4 linked regions of the Caenorhabditis elegans genome follow. The protein of the gene in region 3 purifies or fractionates together with the protein of the main gene of each other region. This does not show direct contact. Each region holds a gene or a part of one and is shown on either strand. Other genes may lie near its edges. The genes, in order: leo-1, ZK673.6, srh-199 and F46G11.2.

Region 1 (3,993 bases), on a different chromosome or scaffold from region 3:
TTTTTCAATTTCAATTTTTTTAAATTTTAAATCTTTCGGACATAGTGGTTCCGTGTATATTATAATATGATTGATTCAAAGATTTGTTGTTAGATGTAAAAATTTATTAGTCAGTTTCTTTATCAAACGTGAAAAATCATTTCCTACATTTTCCACAAAGATGTTTAAAATACTCTGGAATCAAAAGTCAAAACCTATAGTTTTTCGAATTTTAATTTATGGAATCTTCTTTCAAATCATTATATTGATGTTTTTACTGCGATCGAGAAGCTCTGGAAATCAAGAAGAAGCTCAGTTGATATTAAATGTATCGATTTCCCCAAGAGCAATGGAAAACGATAAAACACGGAGGTTTGATTTTGAGAATTCTGAAATCGTAGATTATTTCAAGTTTCAGAATTTATGATACGACACTTGATGCCAATTCTTTGAGAAGCGAGGAAGACGTAGTGGATGTATGATTTTAAATATTACATACAATCTGATTGAAATTAAGAAATAAAAGCTCGGTTTTTCATAATATTGTGGATGTTTCATTATCTCGAAATATCGAAGACTAAAATAAATAAGGAAAGGAAAACATTTTCGAAATATTGTAAAGGGAGAAATATTGAATTCGCGAAATATAAAATTGTGAGGATCAAAATTGAAATAAATTTAGTCAGATTCTTCGTCACTGGTGACAATCTGTTTCTTTTGTTGTTGTTTTCTCTTTCGGTACTCTTCATCAGAATCGCTATCCGATCCGCTTTTCTTTGTGGTATCCGCATGATCGTCCTCACTTTCTGAGCTGGCACCTGAAATATATTATTGTAGTACAGTTTCTTTATTCTGGTAAAGTCCTAATCAAAATTAAATTGAACTTACCAATAATTGGTGCTTCCTTCTTCTTTCCTTTTCTGGATGACGTTGGCATATCTTCATCATCAGAATATTGTCCTGCATATCTCGGACCACGAACTTTAAAGTTATTCCGAACCATCTGAGTACGTCGGATGTGTGCACGAAGTGATTCTTCCTCCTTCCGGGCATTCTCACGCCGTGTAATTTCCGGATTCTGACCAACATCGTCCATGACTTTAACTTGAGCATTCTTCCTGCTTCGATCTGCCATATTGAGTGTGACTTTTCTGTGAGTTTGGGAATCAGTCGAGTGAGGACGGAAGGTCATACGATGTGTAAGAACAGCTTGAGCCGACTAAAAATGACATAAATTTTGATTAAAATAAAAACATTAACAATCAAAATACCATTAATGTTGGCTGCTTAACGTAAAGATGGGGAAGATTATTGGAATTCAGCGGCACCAATGAGACTTCGAAAATTTCGTTTCCGAGGTATAGAGACATTCTGAAATTAAGTCACGATATGGAAATTTTGCATCAATTGAAAACTAACGTTCCATCGTCCCATTTTACAATTTTTGCATTACTCTCTCGAATTTCTTTTCCATTTTCATCTTTGCGAACTCGCCAGCGAAGTGTATTTTCCACCTTAAAAATTGTATATTTGATGAGATGTATTTATAACACAGACATACTCTCAATTTGAGACGTGTTCGTCCTTCATCATCCAATTTCGCCTGCTCATCATCTTCGTCTTCCTCGTAATGTTGTGGATCAAATGGATGAGTGGCGACTGATAGAAAGTTTGGCATTCTGACAAAATGTGGTGGATCTGCAGCGTACTCCAAAGTAACACGACCTGTTACCATCTGGAAAATCAATGTTTTAATCACATTATTTCATTGAAAATGTTTACTTCAGTATCATGAACATGCTCCTTTGCTTTTTCATCTTCATCTATTTCATCTGGATTAGCCATCACAATTCCTTGCAAATCATTCAAACTTCCACGACTCTCCGCATCGGAATCTGACAATCGTGCTCTTGTATTTGATTCTTTCGGCTTTCCTTCTCTGTCGGAATCATCGTCGGAAGAGCCAGAGAGATCACCGAACAAACCACCACCAGCACCGGGGGAACTCTTTTCACCTCCTCCTCTCGGATGAATGTTATCGTCAGAAGAATCGGACAATTGTCGAGGAGCAGGACGAGAATCATCATCATCGTCGGACTCATTTAATATCGCTCTTTTCTTAGACGGTTCTTGTTTTTTTGGTGAATCTGGCGACGATCCACGAGAAGATGGAGTTGATCTGAATTGAATTATATTATTTTAGAAACACAATTACCATTTACTTACGATTTAACTGGTGTTCCTGGTGCAGAAGCGTCAGAATTACCCTCAGAAGATGACATCTGAATTGAAAATATTGCATACCTAAGTTCTTTGAATAGCGAAAGTAGCAAAACAAAGTAATAATTTGGGGTCGAATATACCGATAAAAATTGAATAATAAAAGTAGTTGTTGAAAATTCAGATTTTCTTATCCATAGGCAATAAGTTGAAAATGAATATTGGGGGATCTCTATTACAAATTATTAGCAAACAAAAAGAAAACAAGGATTATGAACAGTTATGAAACTAAATCTTGCAATTCGTAGTGAAGAACAAATATAATTATAGCGAGAACATCAAAAATAGCATCTACCGGAATTTTAATTGGAAAGGAGACACTGGGGAACGTAATAGAAATTAAATAACTAAATGAATCTTGATATGAACAATGAAAGTTTCTGGTGAAAAACGGCCCTAATTTTTCATAAACATTTTACGGAATTGATCATTTGAAAGTGGCTGAGACGTTGAAGTGCCTTCGGAAACATCCATTGCGTCCAGCCGAGCAGTGATTTGAGGAGTTTTGTTTGCTGAAAATGGATTTTTTTATGCTAAGCTGGGAACTAAAGATGATATACTTACTAATAGCTCTGGGAACCAATTGCAGTTTTGCAGCATGTCCTTTTCTAGGTCCATCTTCTTCCAAACTTGCTCCAATTGCTGCTGGTTTTCCATGCGATTTATCCTTTTTTACTGGTGGATTGGATAACGCTACCTCTAGTTCTCTTTCTCGAAGCATCAATTTATCACCAGAAGCAACACATTTTTGAGCACTTGCTTCTGTGTCAAAATCTACGAATGCGATTCCTTTTGGTTTTCCATCTTTATGAGTCACGCGTCGAACACTGGTTACTGTACCGAATTTCGAGAATAATGCCTGAAATGTATCGATTTAGAATATAAAATGATAGATAAGTATATATTACCTTTAACTCATCGTCGGTTGCCTGGAAGTGGACATTGCGAACGAAGACTTTCGATTTTTCAAGAGTGGTTGAGAATTTGAATCCAACCCGTTTTTCTGGATCGTTGGCGGAGATCTGAATTTTCAGAAATTAAAATTTCACAAATATTTATAAAGTAAAATTAAAACTTACAAACATTGGCCTTCCCTTCACAGGAACTCGATCTTTCAAGAGAGCTTGCTGTGCCTTCTGATCATTCTCCATTACAACATAGGCGAACCCTCTGTGCACAAGATCCGAATTCGCTTTTCTTGCGAATCGAATTGAAGCAACACCTTCAATGGCTTGTCGAATTTCGTCTTCCGTCGTAGTGAAATCGAGATTAGAAACAAAAATTGTGCGAGCATCTTCCGTTCCTGGAGCTGCTTTCTGAACTGCAAAGGAACCTGGAGCTGGTGTCGACGAAGCATTTGAAGAGGATACAGCTGATGAACTTTTCGCATTGGATGGTGGAAGTGGAGCTTTGAATCCTAAAATTTAATTCAAATTAACTTCTTTACTTTTAAAAATTATTTACCTCCGTCGTCTCCTTTCACTTTTTTTACAATTGGTTCACCTCCCGACGTTCTCTTCTGAATATGATCTTGCTTTGATTTAGGAGCTGGAGCTGGTTTCTCAGAAACTTTCTTTTGTGGTCGAATGGCTCGATGAGCAACCTGTGAATTCACTTTCTCAAGAACCAAATCCAACTCAGCCAATGTTCCTTCTTCTCTTTCAAATTGAACATAGTACATATAGATTTCGTTGATGTTATCCGATACAGAATTGAGAGCTTTGTTTAGATATT
Region 2 (3,916 bases), on a different chromosome or scaffold from region 3:
ACTTGAAAAACCGCTTAGGACCTTCACCAACCGCGTCCTGCAAAGGTGCAACGTTAAATTCACCTCTTACGAAAACAGACTGTGCATCATGGAACTATTCTCCACCAGACACACTAGAATTAAAGCTCAAATGAAACTATTATATAGACTTCTTACCGGTTCTACTCATTTCTCTAAATTAACTCAGTTTGTCAAGTTCTCTAATTCCAATAGGAGACCCATGATTCTGGTTAGGAAAGACACATGCACCTCTCATTTCTTTGCCAAATCCATTCCTATTTGGAACAATCTTGTCAAAAATATACCGGTATTTCTCTCCCCCTATCAGTTTTCAAGTTTTCTCGATCTCAATATTCCCCGGTATTAACTTTTATCCGCTGGTTCTCTTTGACTTCTAACTGATCTCTTCTACCACATTACCCTCTCTCTCCTTTCCCGTCCCAAACTCGAGACGTACTCTTTCTGGGTTAGTCTCGTTTTACCGTTTTATTTAACACTCAAAATTCAATTGTACAGTTGTAAATTGCATTAGTTATGTTAAATAAATCAATCAATCATCTGAAAATTTTGAAAAAAACGAATGTGCTACAAAATACTAGCTTAAAGTAATTGGAGTAATTGGAATTTTCGATGGTGGAACTAGCAAAAAAATTTTATTCAGAAATGTATTGTATTCAATTAGTATTGAAAGCGTGGTCGTTTGAAGTGAAAAACAACTTTTAATTAGTCTGATTAATTTATTAAAACAATTGAGTAAAAGTACAGTTGTTAAAAATTGAGAAAACCAATACAGAAAAAATACCGGACAGAAATTTTGTAATCATTTCCAAGAAAAAGTACAATTATAAAAACCGAACCTGGATATCAGAAAAACCGACTAAACTGTTTGAGGAAAAATAAATAAAAATAATTAATAATATTAAACTGAAACACGGGATTTCTTCTTGATTTCCTTGACAAGTTCTGGATTGTAGAATGGATTGGCAACGAGTTTCACTGGAGATTGAGCCTTGGCAACATATTCTGGATCAAAAAATGGATTTGGGATGAGATGGGCTGGAGCAGGAGAAGTTGAAGCTGATTGTCCAGTTGAAGTGGCTCCACTGCAGAATCCGGAGTCCATTCCAGTGTCACTGAAGCAGGCATCATCGGAGAATTGTTCCTGATTGGCCAAGTTCTCGTAGTAACGGTACTCTTCTTGCCTCTCCATCATGAAAACAGCCATTTTTCGAGCATGCTCATCAAGGCAAGATTTCTGATGAGTGTTGAGACGCTTGTTTCGAGGGAAGAATTGAAAGATGGAAGCATTGTTGTAGAATGCGAAGGATGGAATTTGAGAGTACTCCATTTTGACAGTGAGAATTGAGAGAAAGGGTAGACGGTAAGAAAGAGCTGGGTAGCTAACAACTGGAAGATTTCCAGAATGAATGATACTATTTCTTTCCGGTTGTCCTTATATATACGGTCCGGTAGACCACGCCCCATTTGGTTATTATCCAGCGGGGCCGACCTTCTTCCCACTATGAGACACAAGGAATTATAGGTGGGGGATGCCTTGCACCTTTTACGATGGTATTTTTCCAGACGGGGTGACGATAACATTGGCAAACAAGGTTATTAGAAATGAACACAATTTCCGGCATATCTGGGAAAATAGCTAATTTATGGGGTCAACAACAGTAAAACTGAGCAAAGATGTTGCTTTTGGAGAATAGGATCATTGGACCAGCGAATTCGGAAATATTTTTCGCCAATTGGCATTAATGCTAGAAAAATTAGTTACAAAAAACAAATAAAATAGATTATTAATTTTTATTCGTGAAAACTTATTTTTTCGAAGACAAACGTGGAAATACTCAATCTCGTATTCCAAATCAATACTCAATCAGTTTTCAAAAATGTCAAATTTGCCGACCAGCACTCCTGTGAGCCCATCTAATCTTGCTGAAGAGAACCCAAAGTCTAATAATCCGTAAGTTCATAAGAATTTTATTCTTCGCAATCTGAGATATTATAGAGAAAGCTCAGAGATAGAGGACGCGAACTTCGTCGGTAAAATTCTTAACAAGGATCAATTTAACCTGAACGAACAGTTCTCCAGTGATATTGAGTGGATTATCAAGTACCTTGATGTCATGCAAGGCGTCACCGTCGGGCTTGAGAAAATGTGCATTGTAAGATTTTGAATAGCGGAGCCAACTCAAATAGTACACGTGTTAATGCATGAATTTTCAGTCGGGAACAAGTTATCACTTCTCTGATAAAACGGAGGTTCCCAACAGCGGTTGGAGATACATGCCGGCATACTTGAAGAAGGTCGAGTTCATCAAGAAGAACGAGGCGGAAGCCAATATGATTGCGGAATTGTGTGAAAAAATGGGCCACAAGGAGGAGCAACATTTCTGTAGGAAAACAAAATTATTTCTCCTATTCTATTGAAACTTTTTACAGATGATATCAAAAATGTGGACCATGACTCAAACATCTACACAACGACAGTATTTTATTGTGATAAGATCAAGAAGATGTACAGTGATGTGGAGAAAACTGTGAAGACGTGCAATCGTAGAAGAAAGAAAGTGGAAAAGACACAGATTCTTCCAGACCTTCGAGATCAATGCACAAAATACCATAAGGCAGTGCATACATTAGATGAACAGGTGAATTTAGAAGGGAGTTTTGTTATTTTTTTGGCAAAGCTTGACGACTTGGTCTATCGCAATTTGAAATCTGGAAATCGCAACAATACGTGCTGTTTTGTAATTTAGTGTCACGACATATTTTCTGAAATTGAAAAAAAAATCACGTACTGCAACGGGATCCAAGTGTCAAACAAAACCCGTGGGCAAGTTAACTTCCACAACTACTTTTGTAAAATTGTTGCAACTTTAAAAGCTTTTCATGGGCATGTAGAAAGAATCCCCAAGATATTGTTGGAAAATTTAGAAAGGAAAATTTTTGTATAAGTGCAATTTTTACAGTGCCGTGAATTGGACAATCTGAAGGAGTACGTCCGAGCTGGTCGACATTTTCATAATCGCCACTTCAAACAGGTTCGTTTTATTTTTGAGCCTTTACTGAAAATTATTTCTAATTTTCAGGGTCTTGTGGTTATTAGCGCCCTGACAGCCGTTAGAAGTGGCGTTATAAAGGAATGGATGACGCGAGACAGCAAGAGACAGCAAAAAAAGGGCAAGACGACGACTGTTGCCAGAAGCACTAACAAGAAGAACAAGAGCATGATGGGAACAGTGAAAGATTTGAAGAAAAAATGAAGTTTGAATGTGTACAAAAGATATTATCATAATTGAAATTCTAATATAAGGCTTTGAAATAAATATATTGGAATTTCATATTTTGTTTCTTTTTAATTCAAAAGCATAACAGTTGAACAATAATTATAAAGCAATGATTTGATATTTATCCACACCAGTACGAGTGATTTTGAATAAAGAATGGAACCACACAATAACACTTCTCGTATATATTTGATAAATCAATATTATTAGTTCCCGTTTCAAAGCAGAATTATAATAATACAAAACACATTTATTGTAGTCTCATCATATCAAATTGTTGTGAGATACTCCGTGGAAAAAATTGAGAAGGACTATGGGTCATACTGTTGATCAGTGGATCATGGGCTCCCGCACAACTTTGCTCATCGCCGTTTTCGGACTCTTCTTCGATTCTGAATATACATTCTGATTTGATTTAAAAGTAAGCAAGCATCTTCCGATGAGAAATAAAAATTTTTCTGATAACTTTCAGTTTTATATTAAAAAACTAAGAATCAATACAAAACTCAATTTACCTGTGAAGCTGAAATTTCGATGCCACATCAGATTCCCCGCATATACTCGCTTCGAAGATTTGAGAATCTTAAAGTTTTGTTTAATTTTGTTGAGGGGGACTG
Region 3 (3,960 bases):
TTTTGAAGATAAAAGTTGTCTAAATTTAATTGGGTTATATACGTTTTTTTCATAAAACATACAATTAATAACTGAGTAAGACGCCATTGAACAATAAACTACAAATATTGCGATGTTCAGTTGTGATCTGAGATTTGCACTATTACAAAAATACTGAAGGTACTCTATATGTAACTCACTTTATTAATAGCCATTTGTACTGCGCAAAGTGAAGAATTAAAATACGCTGCATAGTAGCCAGAAAAGTAAACGATATGATGCATCCGAAAACGAAACCGATAGAAATATAAATGAACAGTGCGATAGTAAGCATCGCTGCAAGAGAATAATTACTCTCTCTATCAGCAATCAATCTAGTAAAAAGATTTATACTGTTGATGAAAAGAGTGCAACCAGCAATGAAAAAGAGCTGCTGGAAAATCGGAGCATGAAATTCCTTGAATTTTACTCGTTTTTCTGCTTTCCTATTTCTTCGTTTGTAAAGCAGTAATAATAAAAAGAATATGCAGTTCGTAGTGTGGATGAAAAGCATTACAACATCCATAACGTCAAGAAACAATGTGTCAAGACTGTTTTCATGTTCCTTGTATGAACGTGCAGCAAAAATTAAAAACTCCATGGTAGAACTCAGAAATTACAAGTTGAAGCTTTTTGAAGTGTAGCATGAGGCTATAAAACACCATGACAGGTGAATAGTTTTTCAGAGTACCCTCGGAAAAAATCAAACTTTCATAGAAACTGCTGCAACTTAAAAGAAATTGAGATTTTGAAATTGAAATTTGAGATTTTTTTTTGCGTTTATTCGTTGATTCGTTGATATACATTTGGGGCACAAAATGAAACTTTCATTTATGCCCCAAAGACCATAAATGTACTTAAATCAACGAATAAACGCTTAATCAAAAGCCACACTATTTATTAAAAAATGATGAATGAATAAAAATTAGGTTCCAGACGTTGTGACACCGAGAAGTTGGAAAAAATTTTGATTTTAGCTGAAAATGGATCTTTTTTGCAGTAGTTTGAACCGCCATAACGTTTTTTGAAAAATTTTCAGAACGTCTCATTACGAAATTTGGTAGTTTTGGACCAATTTGCGTCTAAAAAAGCAAAGTCTCAAATTTCGGTACTCCACAAGATTTTTGTGATAAAATTTTAATTTTTATTTACAGCTGGAATCAGTGGGAATTTCATCCAAAACGATCAAGTATCATAATAAAACACTCCAAAATTTTTTTAGATTTTTATTAATTTCCGGTCAAAGTTTTGGCAAATTACCAAAAATTTTAAAAATATAGGCGGCTGAGGAAATCTAAAGCAATTTCGCATGTTCAGACACCTACAATATTTTTATACGAATAATTAAAACAAAAATATTTTTTATGATTTTTTATGTGTATTATGTGTATTATTTTGTGTTTTTTTTCTTGTGACACGATTCGTATGGAATCGTATTAAAATAAATAAATAAATAAATAAATAAATAAAAATTACAGTATAAAAAATGTATGAAACAATTTTTTTGGCCGATTTCCAAATTTATGAGTGCCAAAAATTGAGTAATTGCCAACTTTCGACAGTAAATAAAAAAATTTCAAATATTTGTAAAAATTTTTTAAAAAAATTTTTCTTAAACAGTTTATCTTCAAACATTAGTCACTTCACCTACTTTTCATCTGCTGACATTATGACGAAAAATAGTTTTCAGCTGCGCGAAACGAAATGTCTTTAGTCAGGACAGCCAAGCAATTCATGATCGATTTTTTAGCAACTAACTATTCAAATATTTTCTTTGAGAATATTCGTGGCCATCAACTTAATAAACGTTTCTCTCAAAAAGTTAAACATTGTTCAATTCAACAATAATGAACTATACATGTATACCGGATCTAACCTATATAGACACTCCTGATTTCTTATTGACAGATATGCACATTATCACAGGAATATCTACACCAATTCATTTTCTTGGACTATACTGTATCATTTTTAAGACTCCTAAGCAGATGAGGAGTGTGAAATGGTACATGCTAATTTTGCATATTTATGTTATGATATTTGACTACTCCTATACAATTATGACAGTCCCTTTTGTTCTATCACCTTTTGCTGCGGGCTTTCCACTTGGTCTGCTTCGTCTCACAGGAATGTCAGTTGTTGCACAGTCAATATATTTTATAATAATTTACTTTTGTAAGTGACCTTTTGCTTGAAACCCAGAAAGAGACAAATTTATAGTTATGTTAAACGGAATAGTTTCGATTTTCGAAAATAGGTTTTATAAAATTTGCTCGTTCACCTCGAAAAATACGTGGAAATTTTGGAGGATTGTATGGCTAGCTGGGCATTATGTAATAGAGGTCCTGCTGATCCTTCCTATAAAATGTTTTGTTCCAGAACAGACACATGCACTACAATACGTGTTTCAGGTTGTGAAAAAAATTCATTAGAGGTGAAGTAGCGCCAGTGGGAATTTTGTTTAAAATGATCCAAAACAACCAAATATCTTTTAAAAAAATACTCCGAAAAATTGTAGATTTTTCATAATTTCCGGGCAAAGTTTTAGCAAATTGCCAAAATTTTGAAAAAATATGAGATTTTGAGGAAATCCAAAGCAATGTCGCATGTTCCGACCCCTACAATGTTTTAATACAAATAATTAAAACAAAATTACAGTATAAAAAATATAGAAAAAAATTTGTTTTTTTTGCTCGACTTCCAAAATTATGAGTGGCAAAAACTAAATAATTGTAACTTTTTGACAGTAAATAAAAAATTTCCAAAATTTTTCTGAAAAGTTTTATTGAGATATTCGGTAATTTTGACGCCATATGAGTAGTTTTTAACATTTTCCCCACTGGCGCTAATTCACCTATAAAAATATTAAATTCCACTTTTCAGAACCTTCCATGTCTACCTAGATATATATACGATGGTCCGGTTTACGTGGTTGCTGAAGACATCACTTACCATTTTTCATTTATTTTCTCATTGCATGTGCTTATTTGTTTCGAAGTGATTTTCTTTTTCGGATATCTTATTCGGAGCGGTCGTCAGCAACTGAAAGGAAAAACAATGTCTCAAAGAACGTTTCAGTTGCAGAAAAAGTTTTTTATAGCACTCATTTCTCAAGTTTGTGTGCCATCAGTTTTCTTTATTATTCCACTAATCTACGTTGTGATAACAATTTTAACGAAATATTATAATCAAGGATATCTTAATATTGCATTCACAATTATCGCTATGCATGGACTTGTTTCGACATCTGCAATGCTTTCACTTCATCAACCCTATCGGGAAACAATTCTGAATACGTTTCAAAAAACACCAAGAACCTTGTCCAAGATCCAAAACTTAAATGATAAGCGGTTGCACAGGTGCTCGGCTCGTGTAGCTCATATTTCACCTGGTTGATGTGTTAATGATGTGAATAAATACGTAAAGTAACGAGAAAATTGATGATATTCAGTTGCACTATTTAAGCATTCCATGTGTGTAGAATTTTTTTCCCTCTTCATGAATATTCAGAACTGAGTTTTAAAGGGTTTTAGAAAATTGAAATAATTTATTTTAAAAAAAACTGCTTGACATAGACCCTTCACCCGGCCATATAAAAATTTCCATTGGAAAAAAAAAATCACTTTGCTATTTTTGCGTAAGGCCGCATTTTGTTGTGCATGACGAGTCCCCTTCGGCCATATTGAGTACGTTTTGAGTACAAATTCGGTTTAAAAAACTCACTCTCTCGCCCATGAAAAACGCAAAGACAGTTCATCACGCATCCAATTGTACATGATGTTTTGAAACTGATCATGACATGACAGATTTTGTTTCAATGAGTTGTTCTTTTGGAGTTGAAAACAAACATTGGAAAGGTTTGACGATTTTCACAATTAGAAAATAAACGTTTCAAAACAAACTTATTACAATTTTCATCATTGTAGACAAGTGTCATGGATC
Region 4 (4,454 bases), on a different chromosome or scaffold from region 3:
ATTTCCTTCAAGAGATTGCACTTCTTAAAATGTTCGCAAAAATTGTATTTCAAACTCGGAAAATTCAATTGTTTCTTTTTCTGATTCAATTCAATAATTTCTATTCATTTGTGATCCCAAAGGCAATTAGAGATTTTTTAAAAAATAAGTTTTCTGTTTCAAAACTTTTTCGAATTGAACTATTTCACCAATTGTCAACATTTATTTACAACGAAAGTTTCAGCCATTAAATTTTATTTAAAGTGTTAAAAAATGTTTTTCTTTCAAAAATAGAATATTGCCGAATGAGAAAACTGTTTACAGTTACGTGCTCATAACCAAACTTAAAAACCAGAAGTATCAAAATTTTTATATACATACAGTCACAATGTGTCAATTAGTCAGTTCTTCCACTAACAGATTTGGAAAAAAACATCGATATGCAAATTTGCCCTATTGTCCAAATCAAATCACACATTTTCCAAACAGGACCATTAACCAGAGTATTTCTTTTTTCCAATTTTGCGTTCAGTAAGTTTTTCATTTCAAAAGAATCTTGATTTATTACACCCGTCAATCAAACAACTGAAATTTTAAAAAATAAGAAATGATAGAAAAACTGTACATATGTGGATAAGATCTATACACCAAGTCCCAGAAAATGGACGCACTGTTTCAGACCGGTGGTTTCAATTTCATCTTTCTCATCTATGTCACTATCAAAGTTTCCATAGTAATCATCAGTATTGCCAGACGATTTTTTAGATGAATCAGAAGTTTTTGAAGGTTTCTTCTTTTCGTCGATCTGATCGTAGTAATCAGGAGATCGTCTGAATCGCTTGATCGGATTGAAGTCCTGAAAAAATTTAGATTTTAAAAATTCAAGTTGTTATTCACCTTGAGGAAATTGAATTTATCTGTCGAGAAGAATATTCCATTCTCCAACTGTGGTGCTTGAATCGGTTGTAAAATTAGTGAAGGCACAGATTTGAAAGCAAGCGGCGGGGCTGGTGGAATAGTTGGAGGCGCGAAAAATGGCATTTGAGTCCAGCTAGAGACAAGATCATTTCTGATTTCCAGCGGTTGTAATGATTCTGTAAATATTTTAAATATAATGAAAAGCTTACTTGAAATAAACATACTTGTCTCAGGGTTGCTACTCCACGTTTTGGATCCGTGTGCTGTTTGCACGGGAATCACCGGGGTAATAGATGGGGTATCATAATCCGCCCAGCGCTTCTGAAATTGTTAATAATATTCTCATTGTTCTAAAATGAGAAAAAGAAAACCATACTCTATTATCATCGTCTTGTAATTGTGCAGGATCGTCCATCATTGGTTTTTGAGGCTCATCATCAGTAGGCTCATCAAAATCGGGGATCGATGTCACTGGTGGTTCTGTGGATGGAGGTGCACCGCCTTTTGCATCTGTTGGCTTTTCAATAGATGTCATGAACCTGAACTTATTTTTTCTATAAGTTTCAATGTTAAAGCTAACATACTTATCAATCAATTGGAATCCCTTGGAAAATAATTTACACTGCGCATCATCCATGCCTTGTTCTTTGCATACAGCGTGAACTGCATCAGAGTTACTGGAAATTTGATTTACACTTTATTATATTTGTTTTTTTGTTTGCACAACCGTACCTGCTGATAGTTTTTCTAAGCTTAGCATCTCCAAGTATTTGAGCAGCAAGTTGTATATTGCCAAATGTCGGATCTTTTTTGAAGTTTTCAGCAGAACACGAAATGAATCGGCAAATACTGAAATTCCCAAAATAAAAAAAAATGAAAGTTCCAAAACATTCGAATTACTTACTTGCTATTCCCCTTGCAAAGTGGTACATCATCTAACGCAGTTCTCGAGTGTGATCCCAAAATTGATGAGTCGCGCATATCATCTTGAGTTGGAGCGTCCTTTAAAATTTCAATGTATTATTTGGAACTAATTTTTACGCGTGCTCGCGTATGTCATTTTCAAAATTTTTGAAGCATTGGAAAGTTCAGAATGCTCAAAACTACTGAATTTCGTGATAAGACGTTCTGAAATTTTTTTCAAAAACGGTATGGCGGTTCTAAATTTTGAATAAAATGTAAATTTTCACTAAAATCTCAAATTTTACTCGATTTACTAGAAATTTTGCGCGACCATTTGTGGATGTAAGTTTTTATTGCGTAATTTTGTAATTACGTCCTGTTTTTTGATTTAGGCTCTGATTTTGTCAAGTTTGCAAAATTGGAGATTTTAAAACAGTCATTTTTTCAGTACTTATAACCGCCTTCAGTAATTCTGAGGAATTTTGAGTACGTCTCATTACAAAATTCGGAGGTTTCTAGCTATTTTGGGTTTAAAAATCGAATTCCCAGATTGTTTTACCTCACCGTTTAAGCTTGCAAAGAAGCTTACAGGCAATATTGGTGATTCAATTTATATCACCTAATTCGATCAGTTCTGGAATTGACTCTGATTTTGAGCTTACTGGTTTAAGCTTACTGGTTTAACTCACTGGTTTTCTAAGCATTCCTTCGTTTTGAATAGGTTTTGAAGTGTCAAAGATCGGTCTCACGAGACTTAATGCGCCGGATATAATGTCATCAATTGAAACTGAAAATTGTGAAAGATTGCTTAGGTTTACAAGGACGCTAAAAATAAAACTTACTTTGCCTTTTGCTTCGCTCTGATAATACTACAGGTACCAATAACAGAAAAAGTAAGTAACATTTCATCTGGAAAAACGGCTTTGTGATCACAAAAAATTGAACACCTAATTGAAAAGATAAAGAACGAGGTTAAGGATAAGATCACGGTGACCGATTTAGTGAGAAAGAGACGAAAATGATAAGAAACGGTGAATAAAATGATATAGTCTTTCACTTTGGTGGGTCATGAAGCATGAAGCAACTACGATCCAAGACTGGATCAAGTGATTAAATGATGCGCCTTGCGACATACTCATGTTTAGTGAACTTATTGAAAAGGTCGCCTGACGCTTCTAGAAATAACAGTATTAAGGATGAACGTCCGGAGGTAAGCGGGGGAAAAGTTTTCCTAAAAACCGGTCAATTGCGAGACTCGTCTGCGCATCCGCGTGTTCCAACCATATTTCTAATATATCTCCATTCAACAAGCGCATAGGGAGATTCTCTAAATTTCGCTTGCGCAGGGTTGATCGATCGATCGAATTACTCCGGTTATAGTAGGACACTTCGCCTCCAATCCGGTGATGCAATTCATGGATAGAGATGATAGAAACAGCAAATCACAGCGGAAAACAAAAAAATCCACGCTCGCTTCATTGCTTCATGATTGGAAAAAGGTAGTTCAAGTTCAAGGCCGACAAAAAACAGAAAAAAATAGATAGAGAGTGAAAGTAAAAAATATATATAACAAATTTTTAATACTACAGCTGGTTTGCATGGTATTCTGATACATTTGCATAAACCGTTTTTTTTTCACTTTTTTTCTGAATACGTGCGTAATGTTTGTCTGGCTTGAAAGTACACAGAGAGAATGAAAAAAAAAAACAATTCCGATTGTGATATGCATGTTATTCATTCAATGAAAACGTGTACTTTAAAATGTTTTAAATGACAAAACACCAGATAACCATAGATTTAAAATCGAAGTTGTTAAATAAAATCACAGAAGTGAAAAGTAAATGAACATGAAACTTCATCTATTGACATTTTCTGCGAGTACACTGCCCATGTTCAATTGGAACCACAGTTGTTACACAGAACAAGACAACGGCGGCAGACGACGCACGGAACCGAATTGGGAAGGGATTGAAGATTCCCGCCTCAAAGTGGTTTGGATACTGAAAATAGACATTTTGTAGATATTGTTCTCCAAATTTCCTAAATTCTTGATACCTGAACATTTTTGAACAGTGACTCTTCAAGGCTACATCCCATATCATCAATAATAGGGTATGGCTGGAAACCTGGCTCATCCGAGCTCAATGTGCAATTTACAACTTGGAGGCAATTTCCAGTTATTGGCTTACACTTTATTTTATAGTAAATCTCGTCGTCAAGAGATGCTCCTGAAATTTTTGAACTTTTTGAAACAATAACAGAGGCTGTTTGACAGACATTGTATATGTTTGTAGTTTTTTACAAACTTCTTTTTTTTTTAAATTCAAATTTGTTATTTTCTGAAACTTTTTTCAAACACCAGAACTAAAGCATACCTGAAACAACTTGTCCATAAGGTCCCTTTTTGTGAATCGAAAAGTCGCACGTTATACTATTATCAACAGTTTTCGACAACAAGTTCGGTTTTTGTTTTGACTTATAGATGGATAGCGTGGGCGCTAGAACGCTAAGAAAAAGTATGAATACGAGAAGTTGGTTGGACATTTGTATGCTGGATCGATTCATTCCATTCTGGAGATACCCCGATACAAGTAGGTCATTGCGTTCGGAACAATGTGTTCTTCTTGATTTATTACTTTTCGTAGACGATAAAA

The links.
Region 1: the proteins of srh-199 (region 3) and leo-1 fractionate together in Caenorhabditis elegans (co-fractionation; one large-scale study listed by BioGRID). This does not show direct contact.
Region 2: the proteins of srh-199 (region 3) and ZK673.6 fractionate together in Caenorhabditis elegans (co-fractionation; one large-scale study listed by BioGRID). This does not show direct contact.
Region 4: the proteins of srh-199 (region 3) and F46G11.2 fractionate together in Caenorhabditis elegans (co-fractionation; one large-scale study listed by BioGRID). This does not show direct contact.

What each region holds. Positions count from the first base shown.
Region 1 is NC_003282.8:11,327,109-11,331,101, forward strand, and holds leo-1 (RNA polymerase-associated protein LEO1), read right to left. Parts: upstream 2,262-3,993; coding exon 2,206-2,261; intron 2,159-2,205; coding exon 1,762-2,158; intron 1,715-1,761; coding exon 1,541-1,714; intron 1,494-1,540; coding exon 1,399-1,493; intron 1,351-1,398; coding exon 1,251-1,350; intron 1,199-1,250; coding exon 868-1,198; intron 798-867; coding exon 658-797; 3' UTR 513-657; downstream 1-512. Other genes in the region: B0035.21 (Kinesin motor domain-containing protein), read left to right, coding at 248-351, 398-461; sart-3 (Spliceosome associated factor 3, U4/U6 recycling protein), read right to left, coding at 2,656-2,771, 2,824-3,118, 3,168-3,281, 3,339-3,676, 3,724-3,993. UniProt on the Caenorhabditis elegans protein: Component of the PAF1 complex which is a multifunctional complex involved in transcription initiation via genetic interactions with TATA-binding proteins, elongation and transcription-coupled histone modification.
Region 2 is NC_003280.10:10,462,302-10,466,217, reverse strand, and holds ZK673.6 (uncharacterized protein), read left to right. Parts: upstream 1-1,887; 5' UTR 1,888-1,898; coding exon 1,899-1,972; intron 1,973-2,017; coding exon 2,018-2,174; intron 2,175-2,235; coding exon 2,236-2,404; intron 2,405-2,451; coding exon 2,452-2,660; intron 2,661-2,981; coding exon 2,982-3,053; intron 3,054-3,101; coding exon 3,102-3,275; 3' UTR 3,276-3,351; downstream 3,352-3,916. Other genes in the region: sdz-37 (SKN-1 Dependent Zygotic transcript), read right to left, coding at 920-1,348; ZK673.11 (Protein aurora borealis), read right to left, coding at 3,550-3,691, 3,815-3,881.
Region 3 is NC_003283.11:1,749,455-1,753,414, reverse strand, and holds srh-199 (Serpentine Receptor, class H), read left to right. Parts: upstream 1-1,865; coding exon 1,866-2,193; intron 2,194-2,238; coding exon 2,239-2,429; intron 2,430-2,901; coding exon 2,902-3,414; downstream 3,415-3,960. Other genes in the region: ZK697.1 (Serpentine Receptor, class Z), read right to left, coding at 1-19, 63-127, 180-619.
Region 4 is NC_003284.9:5,786,418-5,790,871, reverse strand, and holds F46G11.2 (uncharacterized protein), read right to left. Parts: upstream 2,712-4,454; 5' UTR 2,710-2,711; coding exon 2,643-2,709; intron 2,588-2,642; coding exon 2,490-2,587; intron 1,900-2,489; coding exon 1,802-1,899; intron 1,747-1,801; coding exon 1,630-1,746; intron 1,575-1,629; coding exon 1,482-1,574; intron 1,437-1,481; coding exon 1,274-1,436; intron 1,219-1,273; coding exon 1,122-1,218; intron 1,074-1,121; coding exon 877-1,073; intron 836-876; coding exon 620-835; 3' UTR 527-619; downstream 1-526. Other genes in the region: F46G11.6 (ZP domain-containing protein), read right to left, coding at 3,660-3,800, 3,856-4,028, 4,176-4,344.